Arabidopsis thaliana: one gene and its partner. The protein of the gene in region 1 interacts with the protein of each later gene in a pairwise test. Each region holds a gene or a part of one and is shown on either strand. Other genes may lie near its edges. The genes, in order: AT1G61590 and AT2G21380.

Region 1 (7,904 bases):
ATAACCAAAACGCCGGAGAACGGACCTTCCGGTGACTCTTCCGAGAGCGTCTTCTGATATTTTCTGAACTGCGACAATGTTCTCGTCACGTACATTTTTTCGTTCTTGAAGCTTTAAGGGAATTAGTGAGTTATGATGAAGTTTTAGTATCAATCTGAGGGATTTTATTAATGAATTTTAACAATTGTAGGGGTGTAAACGACGAGATTATAAAGTAGTTGGGTGGCTCAATGTAACTTTTGATAGTGGAGGGTAAAGTTATGTAATTTTAGTGTTTGCTGATTGCCAAGTCTTTAACTTTGATTTTATGAAAGTAAAGATAAAAAGATAAAGCTATAACAGTCACATTCCACTCTCAATTCTTAGTAAGTTAATTTTTTACTATTTAAAATTCAGATCTAAGATATTCTTTTCATTTCAATATTTCAGATAAATTGGGATTTTGTATTTCGTAAATTCGGCGGTTGATTAAAGTAAATGATTTTAATAAAATTATACTAACTAATGAAAATTAGAGATACCTGTAGCCTGGAGCCACTCATAATGAATAGCTTTAACTTAGTGGATGGACTAAAGCGATGATATAAAAGGAGGGAAAAAGAAAGAAAACGAATAAAGGTATATAAAAAAAATTGTGTTAATAAATCTAAAGTTTTTCTTGTGAGCATACACATACTAGTAGATTTAAAATATTTTGAGTAAGACAAACAATTTAAGGTTTAAAAAGTGAACCAACATCTTCCTATGACATTCTTACTGTAAATTTAACATATGAAAATTTGATGGTTTATGTTATGAAACAAAGCATCGATTCCACCTAATCGAAACACATAACCTCACGAATCCAAAAAGCACAATCAAAGACACAAACGATTTTAACGAGTTCCCTGCCAACAACAGGTACGTCTCGTGAGGGATCGGTACCCTCAAACATCCACTAAAGATCAAGAGATACAAGTGTTTGTGTTCTCTCACTTTCTCATGATTACAAATCAATCGTGTTACAAAGAAGAAGAAAAATAGCGAAGAACAAAGAAGAAGAATGAATCAGAGATGAACCCTAACTTGAGAAGACTCTAACAAGATATCTCTCATCATCATCTCTCTTACGCACACAACGATCTAAAATCGAATGATCACGCTAATCACCAAGCTCGCTTCTTTGTACGCTCTGTTTCAGGTTTTATAGTCGATGATGATTTAAGACAGCTCCTCTCATATGATGACAAGTGTCATCATAAGCTCCTTTCAAAATCTCTACTTGGTACAGAGTCTTAGCCTTTTCCTTAAACCCCTGAAATCCTCTGCATCAACTAGAATGTTTAACACTTAGTTGATTCTTGTGTTTACTTACTCTTTTTCCTTTCTTCTACTTCAAGCAGTCTTCAAGTTTTTGTCTAAGCTTCTCCAAGATGATTTAGAGTAGTCTCGAGGTTGAATCATATTTCAACAGTTTACACGTTTATTTTGGTCAAATCTTACACGCACACACTTAAGCCATCACCTGCAGTGCACATACTATATTCTCCTATAAGATAGAATATGATAGATATTCAAGAGATCAAGAGGACAAGTACAAGACTGAGTGGATCTATGTCCAAACATAACCTTAACAATCTAGCAGGCCCGGCTCAATATTTTATTGGGCCATGTGCTACAAAAAAAATGATATTCTTTAAACTCTTAACTCTAAACAAAATAACCTTATGTGACATGTATTTACTGTATTCTTTTTCTAAACCTATTACTAAAACACACAAAAATTAAGAAAAAAAATATGAGGACCCTGTGCATTGGCACCTCTGGCACTCCCCTAGAGCCGGGCCTGCAATCTAGTCATATAAATTTTTCTGAAAGGTTGATTATACATAGTCTCATGTAAACTAAAAATGGTTTACACAAGCATTCATCTTAATACTCAATCACGTATAATAACTAACATACTCAGTCCTTGTTTAAACACTTGTTATCTTATAACCCTATTACTTTGTTACTTCGCGAGCATGCTATCTAATTTTTACATATAAGTGATATAAACATACAATAACTATATGTCTATATCCATGAACCTTACTTTATAAGACAATCATGAACCATAACCATGCATGGAAAATATGCGGATGTGTTAAGAAATTTTTATCGACATTAGCTATTCGAGTTAATTTATTAAGTGGTTTGTATTTGAAACTATATATGTACACTGTACACAGAAGAAAAAATAATTTTAGGATACCACATATGGTTGATCAAGGAACAAAAAAAAAGAAAAGATGGAGTAGAATAAGCCAATAGTTTTGAAAAGTGGAGCAGGAAGAAGCGTAATGGAAATGATAAAGTTTTGTTATAGTAGACATTATCCATTTCTGCATACATCATCCATTATCTCACTTTAACTGCTCCTATGATTTTTCACAAGAAAAAATAATAAGAAATTAATTAAGATGTAAACAAAACTGAAAACCAAAAACCATCCGTTGAGGAAATATCCTTGTACACACTATAAACCCCACAGTAATATGATATAAAAATATTTTCCTTAACAATAAAATGAAATATTTGGGTATAGGTCAATGACCAAACTGTGGATCAACTAAAGTAAATATATTTCTATTATTGGAATGGAAGTTCACACTTAACTCAGAGTCCTTTCTGGATATATCAAATCCGATCAGAGAATTTTTCCTGAATGATCTGTCATTCAGTCAAATTAACTAACCCTTAAGACCCAAAAATGCAATAGACCTTTGTTAGAGGTGGAGGTAACCCTGGCCGAAGACGTAACCATGGCCTAATAGGTTTATGTCATAATAAAAATAAATTAAAAACATTATCTATCAATTTATTCCAACATAACTAAATGTTTTTTCTACTCCTACATTTTTCGTAATATACATTTATTGGCATTTCGTAAAGCTAAAAACTTATAAATTTTATCAAACAACATCTTTGATTACAATTGATTAATTTCTCGTAATCTCTCTTTCTCTTGTAACTGGATCTTCAGAGCCAAAACTAAGTTAAAATCTTAATTTAGCCATTAAGTGAAATATGTAGTGATAAAAAAGCTTCCCCTTAAAAAATCGTCTCCAACTTGTTTGACTAATATAACAAATCCACTACACTTATTAGTTAATGATTTGATAACTCCAAACTAGTCCGTAATTTTTAAATCGCTTACGCTAACAATATTGTATCTTCAAATTTACTAAGATATATTTTGTTTTTCCGAGTCAAATGTGATACCACATGTACATATATCTTTACAATGGAGTCAAAAGAGAAGACATCATGACGCAAAACCCCAAATTTTGAGTAGAGTGGTTAGGGCAGTTGATGAAAGAACGTCCCTACTCTTTCCTCTTCATCCTTTATTTATCAGCTTATCCTTAATCGAAAGCTAGAAAACAAAACCGCTATTTCACATTTTCTAATCGTTATTCAAATAATAAGTTTGTGTGAGTCTAAAAGTTAGATAGCAAAAGTTGCAAAACTATTGAATTTATTTTTCCATGTTTTTTTCGGAAATACTGTAATGTGATGAGTATAATTGGATCTGTTAGTTTGTTGGTTTTAATTAGAGGTTACTACTATAGAACATTTTATAGTTTTAATGTTTCTATAACCAACCAAAAATCCATTAGATCAAAGTATCCGAATTCAAATATCGTGTCAAAAAAAACACGATCATGCAATATACATTTAAGTGTCATAAATTAACCGTTACGTATTACATTGTGACCTATATGATAGTTACATTTATTTATTATACTTATATAAGCATAGTCCGTCCCTATCTCATATGTATAAATAAGACCCAACCCATCCATCATTGTTTTGCCTCCTAAAATCTTACAACACAAAAAAAAAAAAAACATTTAGTTAAATCCAATGAGAGACTCTTCAACAACTGCATCCACCAAATCCTCACCGTTATGGAAACCCTTTGCCTCAAACTGTTGTTCCGTTGATGACCAAACCGTCTTTGGCAATCTCAGCCGTTGCCGACCTTCGAGATCAGAATTCTCCAAGAACCATCTCGGACCACTTCCTTCTTTTCGGCGACTCTCCTTTGCTGATCTAAGCCGTTCTTCTTCGGCTAGGATCAATGAAGATCTTGCACAGACTCTTGGAGCCGACTTAGTGGATTTTCAGATGTGTGAACTCAAGATGATCACTCAGAGTTTCTCCGGGAACTATCTTCTCGGAGAAGGTGGGTTCGGTAAAGTGTATAAAGGTTATGTTGATGATTATCTCCGACAAAGTCTCAAGGCTCAGCCTGTTGCTGTCAAGCTATTGGACATTGAGGGGCTTCAAGGACATCGTGAATGGCTTGTAAGAACGTTTACCAATAATTGCATGCTAATTATTGTGTTATTTTTCTTGTTACTGTTCAGTAATTATTATTTAGTTATGACATACATTTGATTACGCATACGTATATGGTTTAAGTTATAGGACATCCCAAATATTATTCTAAAATTACAAACCACTCCTCATGGTTTTTATATTTTGAAGATTCTTTGGACTCATTTATTTTTAATTACTTTAGGCTAGGAAACTATATTAAAAAATGTGTTTGGTCATAATATGGACTAATTAAGTACGCATACGATACGAGCTTGTTGTTTCTTTTTTTGGTGTCACGTACATTGTAAGAGAATCTTTTTCTTGTTAGTCTGATATATGTAAGAGTTGGTTAGACCACTTTCGTATACTCTTATATACACCTATCATCTTAATTTAGTCTCTAAGAATATAATTAATTAAAAACATCTGATACATAATATGTTTTTGGTTCATATGCAGTCTGAGGTCATATTTCTTGGACAGCTAAAACACCCGAATTTAGTCAAACTTATTGGTTACTGCTGCGAAGAAGAGGAACGAGTACTCATCTACGAGTTTATGCCACGTGGTAGCCTAGAAAATCACCTCTTCAGACGTAAGAACATTTTTAATAATTAAAATTTAATTCGTATCTTAATGTAATTTTTACTGTATTAAGTGATCAGTATTTCATTTTACTTTCATATTAACGTAATTAAATTGTCAGGGATATCACTATCGTTGCCGTGGGCGACGCGGCTGAAGATAGCGGTCGCAGCTGCTAAGGGTTTGGCGTTTTTGCATGATTTGGAGAGTCCAATCATTTACCGTGATTTCAAAACTTCTAATATACTACTTGATTCGGTAATTTACTAATTTTAGTTTGATTTTTTTTTTTTCAGCGTACAAAATTATCCTAAATACATTCTTCAAAAATATATTTTCTTATTATTACATGGGGGTTTTCAGGATTTTACTGCAAAACTCTCAGATTTTGGGTTGGCAAAAATGGGACCAGAAGGATCCAAATCTCATGTCACAACTCGAGTCATGGGCACTTATGGTTATGCTGCTCCTGAATATGTTTCAACAGGTTTATACACAATGATTTCATTGTCTGTTTTTTCAGTATTTATTCAAATCATTAGGGTCCTTTTAAAAAAAAGGATATAGTTTCCTTCTCATATATATATCTTCCATTGCTTTCTCTTACAAAGAGACCATTTTGATAGAGTCATTTTGAGGATTACACAGAACATAGAAATAAGTAAAACATATAAATCTGTAATGCGTCAAAATTTGAATGAATAGGAATTAATTAATTTTATGGGATTCTAATTTTTGATTAATTTTTCTTTTCTTAACTCAACAGAGCTTTATTAATAAGAGTGGACATAGTCATGGTGTAATCAGAATCTAATTTTGATTAATTATCTAACGCATGTGAGCATTATTTTCAGGGCATTTAACAACAAAGAGTGACGTGTATAGTTATGGCGTCGTTTTACTCGAGCTCCTAACGGGAAGAAGAGCCACAGAAAAGTCACGGCCAAAAAACCAGCAGAACATCATCGACTGGTCAAAGCCTTATCTAACAAGCAGCCGCCGACTCCGATGTGTTATGGACCCGAGGCTCGCTGGACAATACTCCGTCAAGGCGGCTAAAGATACAGCTCTTCTAGCCTTACAATGTGTGAGCCCAAACCCTAAAGACCGGCCCAAAATGCTTGCCGTTGTGGAAGCTCTAGAGAGTCTCATACATTATAAGGACATGGCGGTTTCTTCTGGTCATTGGCCACTGTCTCCTAAATCTCAGGGCGGGAAGGTTTCCCCGAAGGTTCGAGGGGATCATCGGAGTGGTAGAAAATCAGCTCCGGGTTCGTTAAGATCGTGAACTTAGGGTTGAATGACCTTATAAAAAAAGAGAGAAAATAACATGTGTGATGTGGTGTGTGTGTATGTGTGTATACGGTCATACGTCTAAGAGTGACATAGTGAGAGACATATGACTCTCACTAAGAAAAAACAATGATATGAATATATAAATATTGTAGATTAGGGTTTTCGTATAAAATATTTAATCCAATTGGCTTTGATATAGTTTTGCGTTTTTCATTGTGAATATCACATCTGTAGATCATTCATGGTGTATAGTATCACTTAATTGGATCTAGTAATATCATATCATCTAACATATGTTTGCGTAATAGATTGAGGTCTTTTAAATACACTCTTTCATTTGATCAGATTCTAGAATTTTTTTTAAATAGTTTTAATGCAATATTTTGGATATATGCTAATTAATTAAAACTAAATGGGCCGGGCTACTTGACCCTAACCATAAGCCAAGCCCATAGAAGGCGTAACCCGTAATTCAGAAGCCCTAGGTTTCAGAGAAAGTATAAATACCTTATTTCAGTTTTCATTTTACCCCAAACATTAATATCTCTACTCATATCGCCGACTTAAAGGTACATAAAGTTTCTCTTGATTCTTTCGATCTTGCTTCAGGAATCAGGACACTGGTTCATCTCTTACCTCATTTGATTTTCATCATTAGGTTTCAATTTATGTGCGCTTTGTCTGTTAAATTTTCGTAATTTGCCTTGGTTGATCATAGTTTCACATTCTCTAGCTGCTTAAGTTTTGTAGTATGTTGTAAAAATGTGTGTTTTGATTATGATATACTCTCAAGGTAGTTCTGGTTTATGATTCAAAATGAGAACCCTCGGAGATACTTTATAAAATCAAGGCCGGAGTCTCTGAATCAGCTCTTTTGCTAGAATCCAGATTTATCTGATTTTTTAGTGAGAAACACTCTTATAGAGCTTGAGATTTGGTTTATCTTAAATGATACCATCGGCCTTTGATCGAGGGAACATTTCGTTTCATTTTTCCAGAATTCCTTAAGAGTATATCTTCTATTGTCATAATTTCTCTGCAAAGTCCTGATTTTTGTATATACCTGATTCGATTGATTCTATTAGATTGTTATAGGGGTTTCTGCTAATAGTTTAAATATGTAGTCTGGTAATAGTTGGTGTTCATTGATATGAGATTTTTGCTTGAGTACATGGGACCTTTTTGTTCTTGCTTGGTTTTGTCATTGGATTTGTTAGATGTTATCTGCTGTGTTTATAAGTTTTTATCTTATTTTCTAGTATTTGTTTCTGGTTGAAAGAATGTCTCACAGAAAGTTTGAGCATCCAAGACATGGTTCTTTGGGTTTCCTTCCAAGGAAAAGAGCTAGCCGACACCGTGGGAAAGGTAATTTCATCTATTCACCTATTTATTGCTACTTCTGTGTACTTAGTAGAATGAGCTGAGGTTTTCTTTGATGTCAAAAATGTTTTGTGTATGCTTCTATGTAGTGTTGTTCTTATATTCCTTGATTGTGTTTTTCCAGTGAAGGCCTTCCCTAAGGATGATCCAACTAAGCCTTGCAGACTCACCTCCTTCTTGGGATACAAAGCTGGGATGACTCACATTGTGAGAGATGTTGAAAAACCTGGATCAAGTGTGTTCTCACTCTCTTCTCTTATCAAGTCTTAATTTTTGCATGTGGTTTTGTACTTAAC
Region 2 (7,613 bases), on another chromosome or scaffold:
AAGAAGAATCTTTACTTGGGTTTTCGAGTTTTCAGGATCATTCATGGACTGATCCACCAAACGCTTTAGTGTGCTTGTGCCGAAAGCTATCTCACCAGCAAGCATCTTAACTTGCTCAACGAGGAGATCCATTTCATCGGGAGTCATAACGCCCTGTAATAGCCACAACTATCAAATGTCATTTTCTGATAAAAACACTGAAAAAATCATATTCATGGGATAAAAGAAAGGTTAAATGGGTGCATGCGACACTGAATCATTAAACACCCTTTTCTGTAACCATTTGGATTGAAAACAAGAATACACCAAACTTCTAATAAACGAAATTCAATGTAAAACTATATACGCTAAGAATCCCAGAACTTACTTGAGTTAATTCTGCACGAGAACCAACTGGAGAGTTTTCATCCTTAAACTTGCTGGAAGACCGTCGCGCATCTGATGCTAGAGAGAGAGTCGAAGATGGAGATGCCAGATTATCACTATCCAAGAGCAGAGAGTCTAACTTCTGAAGAGCAGAAAGAAAACAGAATGAGTCAATCAGGTATCAAACCTCTTGGGCAGTGAGGAACCAACATGCAACAGTTAAAAAGGAATATAGGAACACAGTGATAATCAGATCTAAATAACAAACTTACATCATCTTTACCAGCAGAAATGCTGCGAGAATGAGCTGGTGTGTCACCTAAATATCCAGGAATAGAATTCTTGGTAGAGACAAGTATGAGCTTTGTAAGCTTTTGGATTCTACTCATTAGAGCTGCTTTAGCTTCTTCTTCTTCCTCCAATCTTGATTGCATCTTCACTTGACCTTCTTGTAGCTGTTAATAAATTGATAGCTCGATCTATTCACCAAATAGGAATAAACTCAAACATTTATGAAATAACAAGGTCTCGGGGAGGTTAGAACCTGTTGCTTTAGGCTCAATAACTCTTCGTGACTGACACCAACTAGCACACCCCTTCTTAGCTGATCAAGTTCGACTTTGAGGGTCGAGATTTCTTTCTGATATTTCTTAATCAATGACTTCTCATCTATGATCTGTTGCAAGATATGAAACAATGTATTTTTTAGCCGAATTTTAGGTTATGCCATCAATAGAAGTCAAATACTTCTTCTTCTTTTTTGTATGAAAAAGCCAAGTACTTCATGACCAAAAGCCTAAGAAATGACCTTATTGCGTGAGGCATTAATTTCAATTCTCTTTGCCCTGCTGGCAAACTTCAAAGTATTATGAGTTTCCTCGGTACTGCTTGACGCAGGAGTAACTGTACATATGAGCTACAAAAGTTTCAGAAAATAAAATTTTAATTAGCTTCTGCTCATTGCGATTTTAAAATTAAGATCAGCACACAGCGTATATTAGATAGCCAATAAATACAAACAAACCAACATTGCCTTAAATATGCTACTGAAGACAACACAATTAGACAATCTGAGATAATCAACCGTGTGAAAACTATTACAGTAAAATGGGAAATATTCACCAGATACAGAAGAGTCGTACCGATACATGCCCATGCCCACTCAGTGAAGATTGCAGAAGACGAGTTAGCTTAGAGTCCCGAAATGGGACATGAGTTGTCTTGCCCTCAGTCAGTTTTCCAATCACCTACATATTTGAACCATGAGATATAGTTTATAATCAAAACATCCTAAAATCGATTTCAAAGGTTAGGTGACTAGAGATGTTATCCTTGACATAAGGACACAAAAAGGGAACAGGCTTATCAGAAAATAAAGGCATTGATCATTAAGATACACTAGCAAACCAGGTTGTTCTTCTAAGGCAGTTTTGCATTATACTTAATTCTGATTTATATCATATTATAACTGAAAAGGAAATATCTGACAAATAAAAGAAAGCTCCAACAGAAAAGAGACACCTACAGTTCCAAGAGTCAGAAGACTCTTGTTGATGTATGCACCCTCTTTCCTCCTCAGTCCCGTTGTCTCAGTTTTGGAACTCTCAGATCCAGCTAAGTCAATCAAATTCTGAGCAAGAAAGAGACACTGTGAGAGAGCTGTTTATAAGACGAGAGAACTTATGCAATGAAAGAAGAAAGAAGCCCTTACTAGCTGAGAAAAAATAACTCCATCATATTGGTCTCCATGAGCACTACTTTCAATCATCTGCAAACAGAAAATACTTGAAATTGAAACTTAAAATGCATAGCAAGGACATTTGTAAGAGAAAAAGTATCTAAAGGACATTGAGAGGATCAAGGGTAAGAAAATGGGATGTTCACAAGATTGAAAATGTACCAGTGTAAATATTGTGTGACTTCTGCTGCTCATCAGGTTGAAATTATTTGAACCAACATGACGATGTTCTGCCATTGAAGATCAAAAGTCAAAACAGTAATAAAGGAAACGCAAATAGGAATATTTTGAAAACATGTCTCAACAATAATTTTTCCAATTACCTTCCCCAGCTGCAATGAAAGATAACGCATGGCCTGGAGACAAAACGACTTCTTCCTTGATACCCTCAACGTAAGTGCCCTATAAAAAAATATCCCCTCTAGATCAAACCAAGGTAATCCATAAAAACAGGATGGATGTAACATGGACTATTCATCAAGTATCATATTTGTTATTGTTAAAGTGAAAATAATGAAATCATACAAACAAGCAAATGCTCTTGTTTGATATACATATGTAATCATGTGTGAGAGAAAGAGAACAAGATGGAAACCTGGGAATCCTCTCTAATACGTAAATTTTGCCCTGTTGGATCCAGTAAGTCATTTATCACCTGATAGAAGGACAAAAATAAGATAACTTGCAGACAGATGGACATATAAGCAATTAAGAACACTCATCTAAAATATAAGACATGATGAGTTATATCACATGTTACCAAAAAAGGAGATACATCATATTTACTTCAACGTGAGGGGAATAGGAAACTATATATGACTATATGAGGCTAAAAGCCTTAACTTCATGGTTTATTTATTGTGTCAGTAAACGCTATTACATTATGGAATGAAATTTTTTGCATACCTCATTGTATATTTCAAGATATGAAACACGGAGCAGAAACTCTCTTCCGGTGGTCTGATATTTAGAATGATGTAAGAAATTAGCAGATATGACACTGTAATAGATGCATTAAGAACTTTAAATCAGTAAGGACCATATAGTTTTTAAGTTGAAGAAGATCCCTTACTTCCTGAATGATACTGAACACGTCTTTTATTGCTAATGGTATGATTCCAGGAAAATCTTGATCACCCTATGCAGATTGCAAATGAAGCAATGGTTAATTATTAACAGCATGTATAGCTGAATCTCTGATTGTTTGATGGAAATCCAAGATGCATATGATCACGTGATGATTTAAGAAGAGATCATTTTGGTCAATCTTAATCAAGATCTTCTCTACTTTTTATCAACACAAGCATGTCAATCAAACATTTATCAGCAACTATAATCACCCAGTGTGTGTATGATATCGTATATCTTTCACATCACAGTAAACGTTGTATAACGAAATGGTGTATAGCGTGTATTTTTCCAAAACACTTACATGCATTGTATGTGTCTTTCCACTGCTTGTAACACCATAAGCAAAAACGGTTCCTGTCAAATTGCAAACACAGAGTCAGAATACTTCCCTGCAAGTAATGCTACTAGCAAATGAGTTGGCTAAAAGTATTTCAATGACAAACACAACTCTTGTTTAATCGATAACACAGCTATAAGCCTTACCGTTAACACCTTCCATAGCAGCCTTGACTACAGGTTTAGCAGCTACGTCATATACTTCTGGAGTTGTTGACTGTGGTCCAAAAACTTTATCTGGCATCAACAAATATGGAAGAACATTCATTGAACAAACGGAGGCGACCAAATCTATAATCAATGAACAGTAAATTGAAATTATCTCCGGCAATAAATTGATCTCAATACCAAATGCGTAAGCTGTGAGGGGATTGTATTCATTCCTGACCATCTTATCTGCGTCAGGATACCAAACAATCTCATCTCCTCGTTGATACTCCCTCTCACTGCAATCAAACAAATAACACGGGAGATTTTCAAAATTGACTAAGTATCAATTCACATTTCATAAATATTAAACTTCTAAAGAAGAATAATCGTGAAATTGTATCAAATGGATCTGATATTCCGCTTCCAGATCTACCGTACCTCATCGGACGAAATCGAACGGTGACGGAGATGCTATCTCGCTCAGAGGTAATCGTCTGCCCAGACTCGCCAATGAGCCCCTCCGATGGGTACGATTGGGCTCCATAAGTCCCGGAGCCGCCGATGGGACCGGAATCGGAAATGGTGCGAGTAATCGACATAGATCGGGACCCGGTTACACCGCCGGAATTGTAAACGGTAGAAGTAGGTGTGGAAGAAGAACGAGGTAATAGACGATTATTTATAAGAGACGAAGAAGTAGACGAAGCCGAAGAGTAAGGACTCGGAGGTCTACGGTGCGAGAAAGGAGAACGACTCCTAGTTCTAGACGACGATGAAGCCATCCACTAACTCGTTCAAACTCGGTTACGGACTCGGTAAAAATCTGAAAATGAAGATAGAAAGAATCAAGCAAAAGAAAAAAACACCAAATGTGAAGATGGAGAGAATGTGTCAGTGGAAACTCACATGGCTGGGGACAGAAAAAGCAATATGCTCTTCATCTTCTTCGTCTTTCTCTCACTTCTCTCTTTCTTCTTCTTCTCTACTTTTCCATGGTTAAGCTACGCGAAGGTGAGAAAAAGATAGTGAGACCACACAAGGAGAGAGCGATTGTTTCGTCTTCTTCACGCGACGGTGGTGAAGAGAGAGATAGAGAGAAATCGATTGGAGATATTTTTTTTTGGTGAAAGCGTCTTTTTTTCAGATTTTGAATTTTTGATTAATAAAATATATTTGTTTTTACTGTGTCGCTAATAGATTCGAACGTGGTTGAGGATTAAAATAAAATAACCGCGAACCGGGTTAAAAGGTTTTCGAAACAAATTGAATGAACCGAACGAGCGGGAAGAACGATGGGTTAGTAAAAATGGAGGATTTCAATGTTTTTGTCCTTTCTGCCCTTTAATTCGTTCAATGTTTTTGTTCCGGTTCAACCTAAACCAAAGAAAATGAAATCCTAGTGAAATATGTTCAATTTTAAGTTTTTAACCGAATCAGTTAAAAAATAAATTAGGAATTGTATCCAACACCAAATCTAAAAATAATGAACAGATTTAAAGTAATTTCTCTTAAGGGTCACTCAAAATGTTAAAAAACGTCAATTCCAATGGAACATGATTTGCGACATTATGTTAGATTCTACTTAACTGCAACATGTCGAATAGATTCAGTACTGAATTTAATAATGGCTAAATGAAAGGAAACATTATCCTTAAATAGATGGTGTACTAATAAATCCTGCAAATTGCAAAAGACAAAATTATAACCTAAATAAAAATAAAATAGAAAGTAATCCAATAAAATGGAGTTATTACGAGCACGTATATCTTGCTTCTATAATATTAAACACTTATGTTACACACACATTGAATATGTGGGTCCTTATTCCCTAATACCAAGTAGTTTACGTATATAGAGTGTGATTGCTTCTCGAAGGTAAAGTAGCAGTGGCAAAGAAGTTGTCATATCTCCCACTTCTTGAGCTCCACCGCACATCTGGCTCACACGTGCATGCTTTTCACAATGAAATCCAAGTCATGTTTTCAGCAAAAAATCATTTGTAGTTTTCCCAAGTATCCAAAGACAGATTTTTAGACGTTCCGATTTAATGAATAAGGATATCAACAGTACTTGGGACACACCAAAACCAACCTTCATCTTCATGAATTACCACTAGACCACGACCCATTTGGTTCATATGCAAATGGAATGTTGTTATTTTTAGTTTTGCGTCTTAGTGCTATGATTTCAATATTCTGTAAATTTTTAATTAGACAAAAATTGCTTGGTATATATAGCATTTACATGTAAATTTTTTAAAGAAAACTTGTGTGGAACAAAATATGGTGCCAGGAGAGAGGGATTGTTGTCATCATTATTGGTCGTGGGCCTACAAGGGTCCAAATATGAAGATCCGCACCCATAATCTGAGCCGTTAGATGACCAGAGAACGTGCAGCCCAACTGCTTGGTGTTGAGTGGAGTAAAATAAATAAAAATAATATGGAAGGCTAAAATGGTAAATTCAAATCAAGAGGAAAAAATCGAGAAATCCAACGGTCACGAACTTGCTAGCTCCCTTATCTATGGAGTTTAGAAGAAAGCAGCCTCAGAAGGAAAAGAGAGATGCTGATTCTTCGTCAATTTCAGATATCTTCATTTGAGCTCTTCCAATCTCCAAAACAAACAGGTAAACATGAAGATTTTTCGATATAATGGCGTTTATTAGGGGTTTTAGGAGCTGAATCATTTATGATAATGTTAATCTCAGGGTTTTACTCTAGTTCAAGGAGTGTTCCTCTACCCAGAACTAGATTTTACTCCGATTTCAGAGTTATGAGTGGCAATAAAGGAACGAACTATGAAAAACTTTATCTGGGTATGGATTTTGGTACTTCTGGAGGTCGATTTACAGTTATTGATGAGCAAGGAGAGATTAAAGCACAAGGCAAAAGAGAATATCCTCCTTTCATGGTAAAACTTTTGCATTAAGTATCCTTGTATATATATCATATACAATTTCTGAGCTGCTTTATGAACAAAATCAAGAGAAAGCTATGGACTGAGACATTTGTTTTGAAATCTAGATAGAAAGAAGAAAGCATGGGTTGGGCAAGCTCATGGAAAGCAACTCTTTTTTCGTTGCTAGAGGACATTCCCGTCACAGTTCGCTCCCTCGTCTCATCCATTTCGCTTGATGGAACTTCTGCAACTACTCTCATCTTAAACAGGCATGTAATTCACCGGATCACTTCTCTTTTCTGTTTCTGTATTCCATTTACATTAGAGGATTTGATGTTTCAGTAATGTGTTGTTTAAATCTCCTTTGCTTATTCAATTATGTGTTGCAGTGAGAGTGGAGAAGTTCTGTGTCAACCTTATCTCTACAACCAGAGCTGCCCTGATGCTCTGCCAGAGGTCAAGTCTATAGCGCCAGCAAACCATACAGTCTGCTCTGGTACTTCTACCTTGTGCAAACTTGTCTCATGGTGGAACACTGAGGTGCCAAACAGAGAATCAGCGGTATTGCTGCATCAGGCAGACTGGTTGTTGTGGTTACTTCACGGTAGACTCGGAGTGTCAGATTACAACAATGCCTTGAAGGTAACACACCATGAAGTATTTACTGCATTTAGGCAGAAAGTGTAGATTAATAGGCTGCTAAACAAGGAAATGTGACTCATCAAAGTGCTTTCCTATTTTGGATTTGAGTGCAGGTGGGCTATGATCCTGAGAGTGAATCATATCCATCATGGTTGCTAGGTCAGCCTTATTCTCAGTTATTACCTAAGGTGCAAGCTCCTGGAACATCAATAGGCAATCTGAAAGAAAGCTTTACAAGGCAATTTGGTAAATATTTCTGATGTCTAAAAAAAAAAATCGATGAAAAGAAAAATAGATTTTCAATCTTCTTTTTGGCTTGACCAGGATTTCCAGATGATTGCATTGTCTGC

What was found.
Region 2: the proteins of AT1G61590 (region 1) and AT2G21380 interact in a two-hybrid assay, tested with the Arabidopsis thaliana proteins (one large-scale study listed by BioGRID).

The regions. Positions count from the first base shown.
Region 1 is NC_003070.9:22,722,007-22,729,910, reverse strand, and holds AT1G61590 (Protein kinase superfamily protein), read left to right. Parts: upstream 1-3,720; 5' UTR 3,721-3,888; coding exon 3,889-4,332; intron 4,333-4,806; coding exon 4,807-4,942; intron 4,943-5,053; coding exon 5,054-5,190; intron 5,191-5,295; coding exon 5,296-5,419; intron 5,420-5,786; coding exon 5,787-6,220; 3' UTR 6,221-6,543; downstream 6,544-7,904. Other genes in the region: AT1G61600 (DUF1262 family protein (DUF1262)), read right to left, coding at 1-95; RPL3B (R-protein L3 B), read left to right, coding at 7,509-7,593, 7,733-7,843. UniProt on the Arabidopsis thaliana protein: May be involved in plant defense signaling.
Region 2 is NC_003071.7:9,138,723-9,146,335, reverse strand, and holds the start of AT2G21380 (Kinesin motor family protein), read right to left. Parts: upstream 4,862-7,613; 5' UTR 4,628-4,861; exon of another isoform or gene 4,545-4,627; 5' UTR 4,504-4,544; coding exon 4,160-4,503; intron 4,018-4,159; coding exon 3,920-4,017; intron 3,809-3,919; coding exon 3,719-3,808; intron 3,590-3,718; coding exon 3,537-3,589; intron 3,243-3,536; coding exon 3,177-3,242; intron 3,065-3,176; coding exon 3,011-3,064; intron 2,760-3,010; coding exon 2,700-2,759; intron 2,507-2,699; coding exon 2,428-2,506; intron 2,335-2,427; coding exon 2,267-2,334; intron 2,135-2,266; coding exon 2,078-2,134; intron 1,997-2,077; coding exon 1,892-1,996; intron 1,614-1,891; coding exon 1,509-1,613; intron 1,283-1,508; coding exon 1,175-1,282; intron 1,043-1,174; coding exon 911-1,042; intron 822-910; coding exon 639-821; intron 509-638; coding exon 368-508; intron 154-367; coding exon 16-153; intron 1-15. Other genes in the region: XK-1 (xylulose kinase-1), read left to right, coding at 6,286-6,349, 6,431-6,633, 6,751-6,890, 7,011-7,263, 7,377-7,509, 7,588-7,613.